Oryctolagus cuniculus: one gene and its partners. The protein of the gene in region 1 interacts with the protein of each later gene in a pairwise test. Links are inferred from orthologs where the notes say so. Each region holds a gene or a part of one and is shown in the gene's direction. Other genes may lie near its edges.

Evidence for each region. The genes of interacting proteins can lie anywhere in the genome.
Region 2: the proteins of AP2B1 (region 1) and GTF2I interact in binary tests that used the Homo sapiens proteins (3 or more experiments, as listed by UniProt). The link is inferred for Oryctolagus cuniculus from reciprocal best matches to the Homo sapiens genes AP2B1 and GTF2I.
Region 3: the proteins of AP2B1 (region 1) and AP1M2 interact in binary tests that used the Homo sapiens proteins (3 or more experiments, as listed by UniProt). The two-hybrid records come from large-scale screens. The link is inferred for Oryctolagus cuniculus from reciprocal best matches to the Homo sapiens genes AP2B1 and AP1M2.

Annotation. Positions count from the first base shown.
Region 1 is NC_091448.1:39,031,239-39,035,640, reverse strand, and holds the start of AP2B1 (AP-2 complex subunit beta), read left to right. Parts: upstream 1-1,466; 5' UTR 1,467-1,637; exon of another isoform or gene 1,638-1,876; intron 1,877-1,883; exon of another isoform or gene 1,884-2,202; intron 2,203-4,402. UniProt on the Homo sapiens protein: Component of the adaptor protein complex 2 (AP-2). Adaptor protein complexes function in protein transport via transport vesicles in different membrane traffic pathways.
Region 2 is NC_091450.1:49,792,679-49,796,178, reverse strand, and holds part of GTF2I (general transcription factor II-I), read left to right. Parts: intron 1-1,427; 5' UTR 1,428-2,029; coding exon 2,030-2,648; intron 2,649-3,500. UniProt on the Homo sapiens protein: Interacts with the basal transcription machinery by coordinating the formation of a multiprotein complex at the C-FOS promoter, and linking specific signal responsive activator complexes.
Region 3 is NC_091447.1:66,911,940-66,914,974, forward strand, and holds the end of AP1M2 (AP-1 complex subunit mu-2), read left to right. Parts: intron 1-259; coding exon 260-418; intron 419-707; coding exon 708-833; intron 834-1,179; coding exon 1,180-1,255; intron 1,256-1,712; coding exon 1,713-1,735; 3' UTR 1,736-2,535; downstream 2,536-3,035. UniProt on the Homo sapiens protein: Subunit of clathrin-associated adaptor protein complex 1 that plays a role in protein sorting in the trans-Golgi network (TGN) and endosomes.

The DNA of each region.
Region 1 (4,402 bases):
TGCACTCATGTGGGAGAGTGGGAAGAAGCTTCTGGCTCCTGGCTTCTGATTGACGTAGCTCTGACCGTTGGGGCCAACTGGGGAGTGAACCAGCGGATGGAAGATCTCTCTCTTTCTTTCTCTCTCACTCTCTCTGCCTCTTTGTAACTCTGCATTTCAAATAATAAATCTTTAACAAAAACTCTGCTCATCCAGCAATAATCAGTTTTAACATTCTGTTGAACATTTTTCTAGCCCCTCCTTTTTTTTTTTTTTTTTAAGGAAATTTATTTATTTGAAAGACAGAGGTCTTCCATCTCTGGTTCATTCCCCAAATGGCCACAATGGCCAGAGCTGAACCAATCCGAAGCCAGGAGCCCGGAGCTTCTTCCTGGTCTCCCACGTGGGTGCAGGGGTCATCCTCTGCTGCCTTCCCAGGTACGCTAGCAGGGAGTTGGATGGGAAGTGGAGCAGCCAGGACTTTAGCTGACGCCCATATGGGATGCCAGCACTGCAGCCTGGGGTTTTAATCTGCTGCGCCATAGTGCCAGCCCCTATTTTTCCAGCCTTTTTGCATATGCAGTCATGTCGCAGGTATTGTTTTGTGTACTTTTTAAGCTTAACCGTTTTATCAAGATTTTCTTGCATTATAAAATATTCTTCGACAACATTATACAGTTCTCTAATTTATCACAAATGTTTAATTTCCAACTTCTCCTATGTTAATAACAGCATAATAATACATAAGTGTTATATGAAGTCTTTATATACTTCAAATTACTTCCTGCAGAATGAAACTTCAAAATATTTTATTTTGATACTCCCAGAATTGATGGGCAAAAATTTGGAAGAAAAAACCCCAACCCTCTCTCTTCTCCCTCACACCCTCACATAAACCTTAGGGAGAGCCTGGTTCGCTGACAGTTTCCTGCGCCCTCGTCAACTTTTTCCTCCAGTTTTAGATCTTAGAATCTAGGGCGTAGTTCCCGAAAGCGCCTTACTTTTGTGTTAGTAGGTCTACTACATTCTCAGCATAGTGCTTCTTTATCTCATTTAAGCTTCACAAGACAAGAAGACTAAGGTTATTAAACTACTTTCCCAGTCGCACCGGGGCAGGGAATTGAACTCACGAACTCACATGATGCCGCCTCAACCTCTTTTCCTCGCATCACTGCCTATGAGTTCTGGGCTGGATCACTGTTGTTTTCTGCTGGACCGCCTGCCAGGGAAATTAGCCGATGTTTTAATTTTTTTTTAATAGAAGGGAACAGGATACTTCAATTCCTTGCGAGGAAACAATTCCAGCGAATTTCAGCTTGTTTAATATATCCCTTGGAATAGCCATTAACCATCCTCTGAGGCCCAGGTCTCCAAGCCTTGCCTGAACCAAGGCTGGGTGGGGGAGGGGAGGGCAGGACGCTTTTTCGTCTCCAAGGTAACGGGTCGCCGCCTTTCTGGTTCTCCCGCGCACTCCGACTACGTCACGCGGCGAGGTTCTCTGACGTCAGGGTTTCCGGCCCACCATCTTTGTCGCTGGCAAAGTGGGTTTTGCGCAGTGGCTTAGACCTAGAGAAAGAATCGTGACGGGCAGGAAACCATTACAACACCACCCGGGCTGTGCTCTCTGGCTGCTCCCGCCACCCCCGCCCTTGCCTCCGGTGAGTTCAAGGCAGCTGACTCTGGGGTGTGTGTTCCTTAATTGATTGGGGTGGGGGAGAGGGAGGAGATCCACAGGCTGAGTCGAAGGCGAGCGGAGGCGAGGAAATCTTAGGAGCGTGACCGTTGAGGGTGGAGGCAGCCGTCGGGTGTGACCGTTGTGAGGAAAAGGCTTGGAGGAGAGGTCTCCGCCGCGGTGGCTGTGGTGGGCTGAGGGAATCCTCGGGGGTGGCAGCTCGAGGTGCGTGGGGGGAGGTCTGTTTCCAAGTCGGGGTTCGCACGGGCCAGAGGCCAGGGGTGTGGCCGGAGGCCGAGGGGAGAACCTTCCTTCTTCCCCCTTCGCCGACGTGCATTGAGAGGCTGGGACGTGTCCAGCGAGCGAAAGGCAAGAGGGATTCCCCCGAAGCTTTGCCCGTTAATGGACACACCTCGCGCGTCTCCGTAACTTGAGGCTGGGGACACCTCTCCCTTATCTCGTAATGGAGGCCTCCCACCTGGAAGCAGAAGAGCCATTCCTGACACTTTTAGGGAAACCTCCGGAATCGGCCCGATGTGAGAGGGGAAGCGGTACATTCTCTGCTCGGATTTTTTTTTTTTTTTCTTTTCTGGATTTAGCAGGAACAGTCTGGCTTGGGGAAGGCTGCAGACGAAGGCAGAAGTTCAGAAATTGGAACTTCCTGTTATTTTCATACTCTCTGAATCCAAAGATTTTAAGCTGCTGGGTTGTTTTCATAGCAGGGGAGGCCAGGCTGTTCCTGTGCTCGCTCGGCCGCTTCATTATGAAGTGTGGATGTTTCGTAAAACTTTGACCTTTCAGAAAATACGCCTTTTTTTTTTTAACTGTCAAACTCCGTTACCACATAGTATTGTGGTTTAAAAGCAAAAGTAAAGAAATACGCTCGGAAAGGCAGAATGACTAAGAAGGAAGGTGGTCTTAATGAGGAACGGTTAGTTCCCGCCCGGTGTAGGTCCGCAGCGTAGCCTCGGGGTGCACTCACACAGTAATAATAGAAGGCAGCAGGTGAAGGAGGTGCAGGTAACACGTTGTAAGGATGACTAAGCCTGGTGGGGAGGTGAGAAGCCTTCGCAGGTAGCTTAGCAGTTGGAAGTCCCCAGGGGAGCAGACAGGCGCCTGTGTTCTGCCAACAGCCTTGCCCACGTTGAGTGGCAAAATGGATGTAAAGCTCACTCGTTCTCTTTGAGTCCGGGACGTTCAGGTCTCTCATCCTTGTTTGTCTTCCCCTTTAAGGCCCATATTGTGAAGTAGTATGTCTCAGGTGCGGGTTTGAACCAAGGACAGGTTCTCCATTCCTTCTTCCCTTCCTCCCAGGCTTACATTTTCCGGGCTTATGATATTTCAGTTAAGAATTGGAGGTCAAACTTTGAGCTTTCTTTCTGTGTATTACTGTATTAACTTTGCAGTTTCTTGTATTTAAATAGAAATCACAGGTGATTTTGGCTTTTCAGGGTTTGATAATTTCTTATGAGCCAAATGATATTTAAAGATACTGTTGTCTTTTCACTGTTGTTGAATATTTAATTAGAAATGGAAACAGCACCTCTCCCGTTATTTTTATTAAAAAAAAGATTATTGGAATGACCTTTCTGCTTTATAATTCTGTTAATTTGGGCCAGTTTTTCACTTTGAACCTTAAATGTGTGAATCTCAAATTTATGTGAAAAGAAGGGCTTAGTGAGTTCATCAGCTCTAATTTGGCCACCATTTCCCAGAGAGCCGTTTAAAATTAAGATCCTATTAATTTTTTTCTGCCCTTATTTTACCCAAGCTATTAATCTTACGTCAGTCTTTGCCTTTTGGGGAACTGAGGGGAGGAGGGAGGAATAGAAGAGGGACTTTCACAACCTGTATCTGGCAGAAACTAGGCTGTGTTAAATCTAGATACATCATCCTGTGCGGGAGGCCCTCCCGAAATGCAGGGACATCCCTCTCTGGACTGGGCCAAGTGAGAGTGATTATGCGCTCTGACCCTGGAGCTTTGTTGTTCAACAGTGGCCCTGGGCCGACCCTAAGTCTTCAGAATGTCCAGTGACTTGTCTGATTTAATCTGGTAGAAAGATGATGTGGGCTTAAATTCCATCATGGCTTTGCTTATTTCTGGAGCTCTCCAGAGAAATAGTTTTGTTTTTGTGGCAGGAATTTGACTTTTTAAGGCACATCAGCAAATACTTGCTTGTTTGTTTTTGTTTCTTGAACTCCATCTTGTCTACTTTTCTGTGACCTCCTATACAGACTTCAGTTTTCACCATCCTGAATTTTAGAGAATCTTGGCTATGTCCATATTTATCAAATGATTAACTATATCTCATCTAAAACACAACTTTTTTAAGGTGAAATTTGCATAACATAAAATTAATCATTTTATAGTGAACAGTGGCACTTTTGGTACATTCACAGAATGGTGCAACGACCACCTCTTCCCATTTGTTTTTGTTGAGACTGTTTTCATTTTTATTTCTTTTTTAAAATTAATTAATTTATTTTAAAGTCAGAATTACAGAGGGAGAAGGAGAGAGACAGAGAGTGAGATCTTCGATCTGCTTGTTCACTCCTCAAATGGACACAACAGCCAGGGCTGGGCCAGGCTGAAGCCAGGAGCCAGGAGCTTCATCTGAGTCTCCTGCATGGGTGCAGGGGCCCAAGGATTTGAGCCATCCTTCGCTGCCTTTCCAGGCACATTAGCAGGGAGCTGGATCAAAAGTGAAGCAGCCAAGATTGGAATCAGTGCCCATATGGGATGCAGGCACT
Region 2 (3,500 bases), on another chromosome or scaffold:
CCAAGTGCAGAGCAGCCAGGACTCAAACCATGACACATTGCCTGCCCAGGACAAGAAGGGCTACAGCACAGGGGGATCCTACTGTGTTTTTTTGGGGTAGAGGGCAAAACTTAATTTGGATGGAAGAGTTTTTGAGTAAAAGTATTCGTTCTTTTTTAACCACTGTTAAGCCTGTTGGATAATTACAAGGTTGAATGCCATTACCTGCCTTAAGTAGTGTCTAGTCTTCCAGGGACAACACCCTGGGGGCAGACCACTCAGCAAACTTGGAAGGTTCTAGTGATGACTTTTCTAGTGCAAAACAGTTAAGAAAGTTAGAATTTTGCAGTCGTAAAGGTCATCTCACCATCCTTAAGTAAATGTGCAGGGTAGATCTTAATTGTTTAATGCAAGTAAAAACAACTGAGAAAAGCTTAGCAATCTGCAGGAATTTGTGCAGAAGGAAAGAAAATCACGGGGTCTATGACCTACTTAAATACATTTCCTCCTGGTTGAGTGTTCAGTCTTTGTGTTGTGAGTCCACAGTTGTATTAAGCTCAGGCCATTTTTTGTTGTTAAAAGGAGAGATGTTTGCCTGTTGGCTGGCCAGCAGTATTTGTTCACGTAGGTAATGTGTTCATCTAGGTGGTTGGTCTGTAATAATTCATATTTTTTCCTTGAGCCAAATTCTTTTTTTATAGAGTGTGACTGGGGTGGATACATAAAATACTCTTCAGTGGCCACTATCATTTTTGCTTTATGGACAAAAAGGATGTTACACTTTTGTTTCAGTTTCCTTATGATTTGTGACAGTTAATTGTTCAGAGATTACCTAGTCTTAACGTTCTAGTCATTGTATGATTATTTACCTTGTGTTCATTCCTTTTTTTTTTAAACCTGCTTTTCTTGGCTTATTATTGTGCATGAATGGGCAAGTAGGAATTTGAAGAGACTGATTCTAGTCCCTTGTTGTAAAACTGTTAGGGTAAGCTCAGCAAGACAGCTAATCTTCCTAGTTGGACTCGCTCATTTATGACATAATAGAATGGAGAGGTTCAGTTAAAATCCCTTGAATTTTCTTCTTGATCAGAGATTGTGTTATAAGTTTGAAATGGAGCAAGAAATAGGGGCACAAATGTAATCAAAACCAAGTTCAGTGTTATGGTTCCTTCTCACACTTACCAATCTGACCTGAAGCTTGTTGTAAGGCAGAAATATATTGAAATTGGAAATACTTTAGAGAACAGCATAATAAAAAATATTAAGAAACTTGGTTTTTGTTAGTGTGTGAATCCTCAAGAGCTGTCTTCCCGTGACTCATTATAAAGTACCCACCCCACTGTAGGTGCTGTTGAGTATTGACAGCAAGGATCAGTAAGTTAAAGCAGAAGTGTAGTCAAGCAGAAACATTTATATGGAATTAATTATTGGCTTGTTTTGAGGTACAGCAGATCAGGACAGCAAGGACACAGATAAACCTAACTCCTGAAATGGATCTCCAACAAGAAACACAGGAAGATTTCAGAGAATGGCTGGAGGCTGTTTTCAGAGATAAAAGAAGACAGCACATCTATTAAACAATAGCCAACAAGAATAAACAATACAAAAAGCAACAGCGGCAGACCAATTAAGTTCATCTTTGAAGCTCATGCAGGAGAAAACCTGGGGAGACAAAGCATCTTACGAAAACCAAGGCGTTCAGGATGGAAGACTGAGGAAGCTGCGTGAATGGGAAGAGGACCCAGCAGACTCAGGAAGCCCCGCAGTAGCCTTTCTTATCTGTGGCCACACTGTGTGCGGTTTCAGTTACCCGCGGTCCGCTGCGGGCCAAAAATATTAAATGGAAAAGTTCCAGATAAAGTTTGTAAGGTTGTGAGTAGTGCAGTGATGTCTCCCTCCGTCCCGCTGAGGCCATGAGTCGTCCCTGTGTGCAGTGTGTCCACACTGTGTCTGCTGCCCGCCTGCTGGCCACGCGGTAGCCCTCCTGCTAATCAGATGGACTGCCTGGGAGCTCACAGTGCTCGTCTTCCACTTCTTATCTTGCTTAAGGATGGCCCCAAAGCGCAAGAGTAAGGATGCCGGCCATTCGCACCTGCCAAAGAGAAGCCGGAAAGTGCTTCCTTTAAGTGAAAAGGTGAAAGTCCTTGACTTAATAAGGAAAGAGAAAAAGTCCTATGCCGAGGTTGCCAAGATCTACAGTAAGAACGAATCGTCTATCCGTGAAATCGTGAAGAAGGAGAAGGAAATTCGCGCGAGCTTCGCTGTGGCCCCTCAGAACGCCAAGGTCACGGCCACAGTGCGAGACAAGCGCCTGGTGAAGATGGAAAAGGAGCTTAGTGTGTGGGTGGAAGACATGAAGAGGAGGCGCGTGGCGATCCATGGCAGCGTGCTGCGGCAGAAAGCCCTGAGCCTGTACGCGGACTGCAGCCGGGGGTCCCCCGACAGGGGCGAGGGGCTCCTGGAGAGAAAGCCGTTCACCGCGAGTAAGGGCTGGCTGCACCGGTTCAGGAGCAGGTTTGGACTGAACACCGGGAGCATTCCTGGAGGGGCGGCCTCCGGTGAGGAGGCGGCGGCCGTGGAGTTTCCTGCAGAGTGGGAGAAGTTGCTGAAGGAGAGAGGAAGGCGCCCCAAGCGCGTCTCCCACTGCCGGGAAGGCGGGCAGCAGGAGGGTGAGTACAGTCCCCTGAGCTGTGCCGAGAGAGACCAGGGCACCTAGCTTTGTTGCAGTGTGACAGTCACCCGGCCTTCCTACAGGTTACTGCTGCTGTGCGTAGTTTGTAAACTGTGTCCCAGGCCTGTGTGTTGAAGACAGAGGATCTGCACTTGCAGACGTGGCCTGGGGGGGGTTCCTGGAATGTTTACCCAGGAGATGAGGGGAGACTGCCGGTATTACTGGTGCTAGCCTGTGCCTGCCTACTTTGCCTTTTTGAGAATTGCCTGCCTCTATACCTTGTGGCTCTAGCTAGAACATTCCTAACAGGTGCAGCCTGTGTGATCTTGCTTTGAGTTGCCGGAGTAATTGGCATTGGGGAAGGCTTGTGACACAAACACTCAGGTCTGTTGTGCAGAAAGCACCACAAAGGTATCTTCCTTTGCTTTTGGGATCACAGCACGGACGTGTGATGAGCGTGAAGATGATGTGGCCACAGGTGAGGTGTCCTGGGAAGGCTGTGGGCCTGGGTCTAGGTTCAGGGGGAGTCTGTGCGGCTTTGCCACTTAATCAAATGAAGCAATAACAGTTCTGAATTTATAACATCACAGTCTCAGTTCTAAGTTATGAATTCTCCTTTTTTTATTTTAAGAATTATTTATTTGAAGGCAGGGTGACAGAGAGAAGAGAGATCTTTTATCTGCTGGTTCATTCCCTAAATGGCTGTAAATAGGCTGGGTTGGGCTGGGCTGAAGACTTGAACTCCATGCAGGTCTCCCACGTGGGTGGCAGGGCCCCAAGTGCTTAAGCCATCTTCTGCTGCTGTGGCAGGCACGTTAGCAGGGAGCTGGATTGGAAATGGAGCTCCAGG
Region 3 (3,035 bases), on another chromosome or scaffold:
TCACTCCCAAAATGCTTGTAACAGCCAGAGCTGGGCCAGACCAATACCAGGAGCCTGGAGTGCCATCCGGGTCCTGCACGTGGGTGGCAGGGGCCCAAGCGCTTGGACCATCACCTCACAGGGCAGGCATCAGGAGGGAGCTGGAACCCAGGCTCCGCCATGATACAGGGCGTGGGCACCCCAAGCAGGACCCTGAGCACCGTGCCCCACGCCCGCCCCGCGAGGGGTCTGTTCATGCCCCACGTCTCTCGCCGGGCAGGCCAAGGGCCAGTTCAAGAAGCAGTCGGTGGCCAACGGCGTGGAGATTTCGGTGCCTGTGCCCAGCGACGCCGACTCCCCCCGCTTCAAGACGAGCGTGGGCAGCGCCAAGTACGTGCCCGAGAAGAACGTGGTCATCTGGAGCATCAAGTCCTTCCCGGTGAGCCCGGGGCGGGCGGGCGGGGACACTGAGGCTGCCGAAGGGGTGTGGGTTCACCTCCCGCCCTGGGGTCAGAGTCCTCCCCCACCCCTTTACAAATATTGTGTTCACCTGAAAGGCAGCGAGAGAGAGAATCTTCCACCCCCCCCCCCCCCGTTCACTCCCCAAATGGTCAGGGCTGGGCCAGCTCGAGGCCAGGAGCCAGGAGCTCCATCCGGGTCTCCCATGTTGGTGGGGTGGGGTGCGGAGGGGCCCCCTTGGGGTGTCTGATGCCCCCGTGTACCCGCAGGGGGGCAAGGAGTACCTCATGCGCGCCCACTTCGGCCTCCCCAGTGTGGAGAAGGAGGAGGTGGAGGGCCGGCCCCCCATCGGGGTCAAGTTTGAGATCCCGTACTTCACCGTCTCCGGGATCCAGGTGAGGGCAGTGGGCAGGGAGGGGCTCTCCTGGGCCCCGGGCTGCCCCCCACTTCCCTGTCCTTAGCTCAGGTCCCTGCAGTTCTCCCATCCCCCCGCCCCCCCATCCTTCCTGCCTTCTCCCCTTCTGCTCCCATCCTGCCTGCTCCCCCCCCACCAGGGCCACCCCAGCCTGCCTGCTTCCCCATGTGGGAGCCACCCCAGCCTGCCTGCTCCCCTGTGCGGGGCCACCCCTGCCTGCACCCTTTTGCTTCCTGCCAGGTTGGGCCACCATTGCTGCTTTCTCCGGCCCCGGCTGCTCCGCTCCCCCAAGCCCAGACCCCTCGCTTTGTCCCCTCCCCTACCAGGTCCGGTACATGAAGATCATTGAGAAGAGTGGGTACCAGGCCCTGCCCTGGGTCCGCTACATCACACAGAGCGGCGGTGAGCAAGCCGGGCCCCCCAGGGCTGCGGGGCGAGGGGATGGGACGCGGTGGGGACGCGCGCTTGGCCCTCGCTCTGGCTCTAACAGCTCCCAGCCTAACAGGGCAGCCCTTTCTGGCCGCGCTGTCCTGGGCACAGTGACAGAGAGAGTTCTTCCATCTGCTGGTTCTCTCCGCAAACGCTCAGGGTGGCCGGGGCTGGGCCAGACTGCAGCCAGAAACCGGGAAGTGAGCCCGGGTCTCCCACGTGGGTGGCAGCCGGGGGCCCACGTGCTGGGGCCACTGCCGCCTCCTGGGGGTGTGTGTGAGCGGGAACCGGGTCTCCTAGATGCAGGCACTCTGACGTAGTAGCCCCTTGCTTGGCTGGGCTGGTCACGCTGGCTGGGGCCTGCTGGGGTGGGCTGGGCTGGGGGTGGGGCTGCCCCCTCCCCCATCCTCAGCTTCTCATTCCTCTGCAGATTATCAGCTCCGTACCAGCTAGGAGCGAGAGGACGCTGCTCTTCAAGTGTGGGGCCGCCGTCTCCCCAGGCCCTGACTACAGATACGCAGGGAGAGCGTGTGTGTGCGTGTGCACATGTGTGTGACCAGTGTCCAGCTCCCAGCACCCTCCTTTCCCAGCATGGGCTGGGGGTGGGGGGTGGGGAGGTGGTCCCCCTGCCTCTCTTGCTCCTGGGACTGCCCTACCCCACCCCCGATTTTACATGAAGAAACCGGAGAGGCCTGAAGCCCCCCCCACAAGTGCCTTTGCAATGACCTGCCTTAGGGGGGTACTGGGGACCCTTCTCCTCCATAGCTGCTGTTCCATTTTAGGGTGTCGTTAAAACAGCGCACCTAGCCGTGTGGTTCTTGGCTGGGGACTGGGGGTGCGGTGTGGTGCCAGGGACACCCCTGAACCCTTGGAATGGGAGTGACTATTCCACGCAGGGAGCAGAACCCCCCACCGCCGCCAGAGGGCGCCGGTGAGCCGGGAGGCCCACCGCGACCCTTCCCCAGGCGGAGCCCCCCCGGGTCCACTGCGCACCTGCGCCCACCCCTGAGGGCGACCCCTCCCCTGAGGGCGACCCCTCCCCAGTCGGAGCCCCCCTGCGCCCGCCCCTGAGGGCCCCTGCCCCTCCGCAGCCCCGGCTCCCTGCGTCCTCTTTGGGTGCACGGTCACCTCTCCCACGGGGCCGTCCCTGGAACCCAAGTCGGCGGCCCGCCTTTCCCCGCGACCCCCTCACTGGGCCCGTTTGGTCGGATCCGTAGCCCTGACTACTCTGAAAAATTAAAAAATAAAAACAGCTGCTTCTCCTCGCGCCGTTCTTCGGCCGGGCGCGCTCCTCAGGGGGGCGCCTCAGGCAGGTGCCAAGTCCTCGGTCCCCACGTGGTGGACACCCCCCATCCGCGGGGCCGGCGCGGGGTGACTGAGAAAGGCGCCAGCTCCCTCAGCCACACCCGCGTCCGCGTTTTATTTCAAACGTCGCTCGGCGGTGCGCTCGCTGAGCGCGCGGCGAGGGCCCGGCCCTTCTCTCCCTTCCACCCTGAAGGCGCTGAGAGCCCGGAGCAGCCCGCGCCCGCCATTCCGCTCCTGACCTTTCTCCCCCCGGGTCAGTTACTCTGGCTCGCTTTCCCGCCCGCCTGGCGGGTTTGAAATCCAAAAACCCCGCCATGACCGGCGCCCCGCCCATCTCCGCGCTCTGGCCAATCACGAGCGGCACCGCCCCCTCCGGCTAGCGAAACCTCCCCGGAGACGCGCGCTGATTGGCTGGCGCGGGCCACGCGGGTGGGGCGCCGCAGGGTCG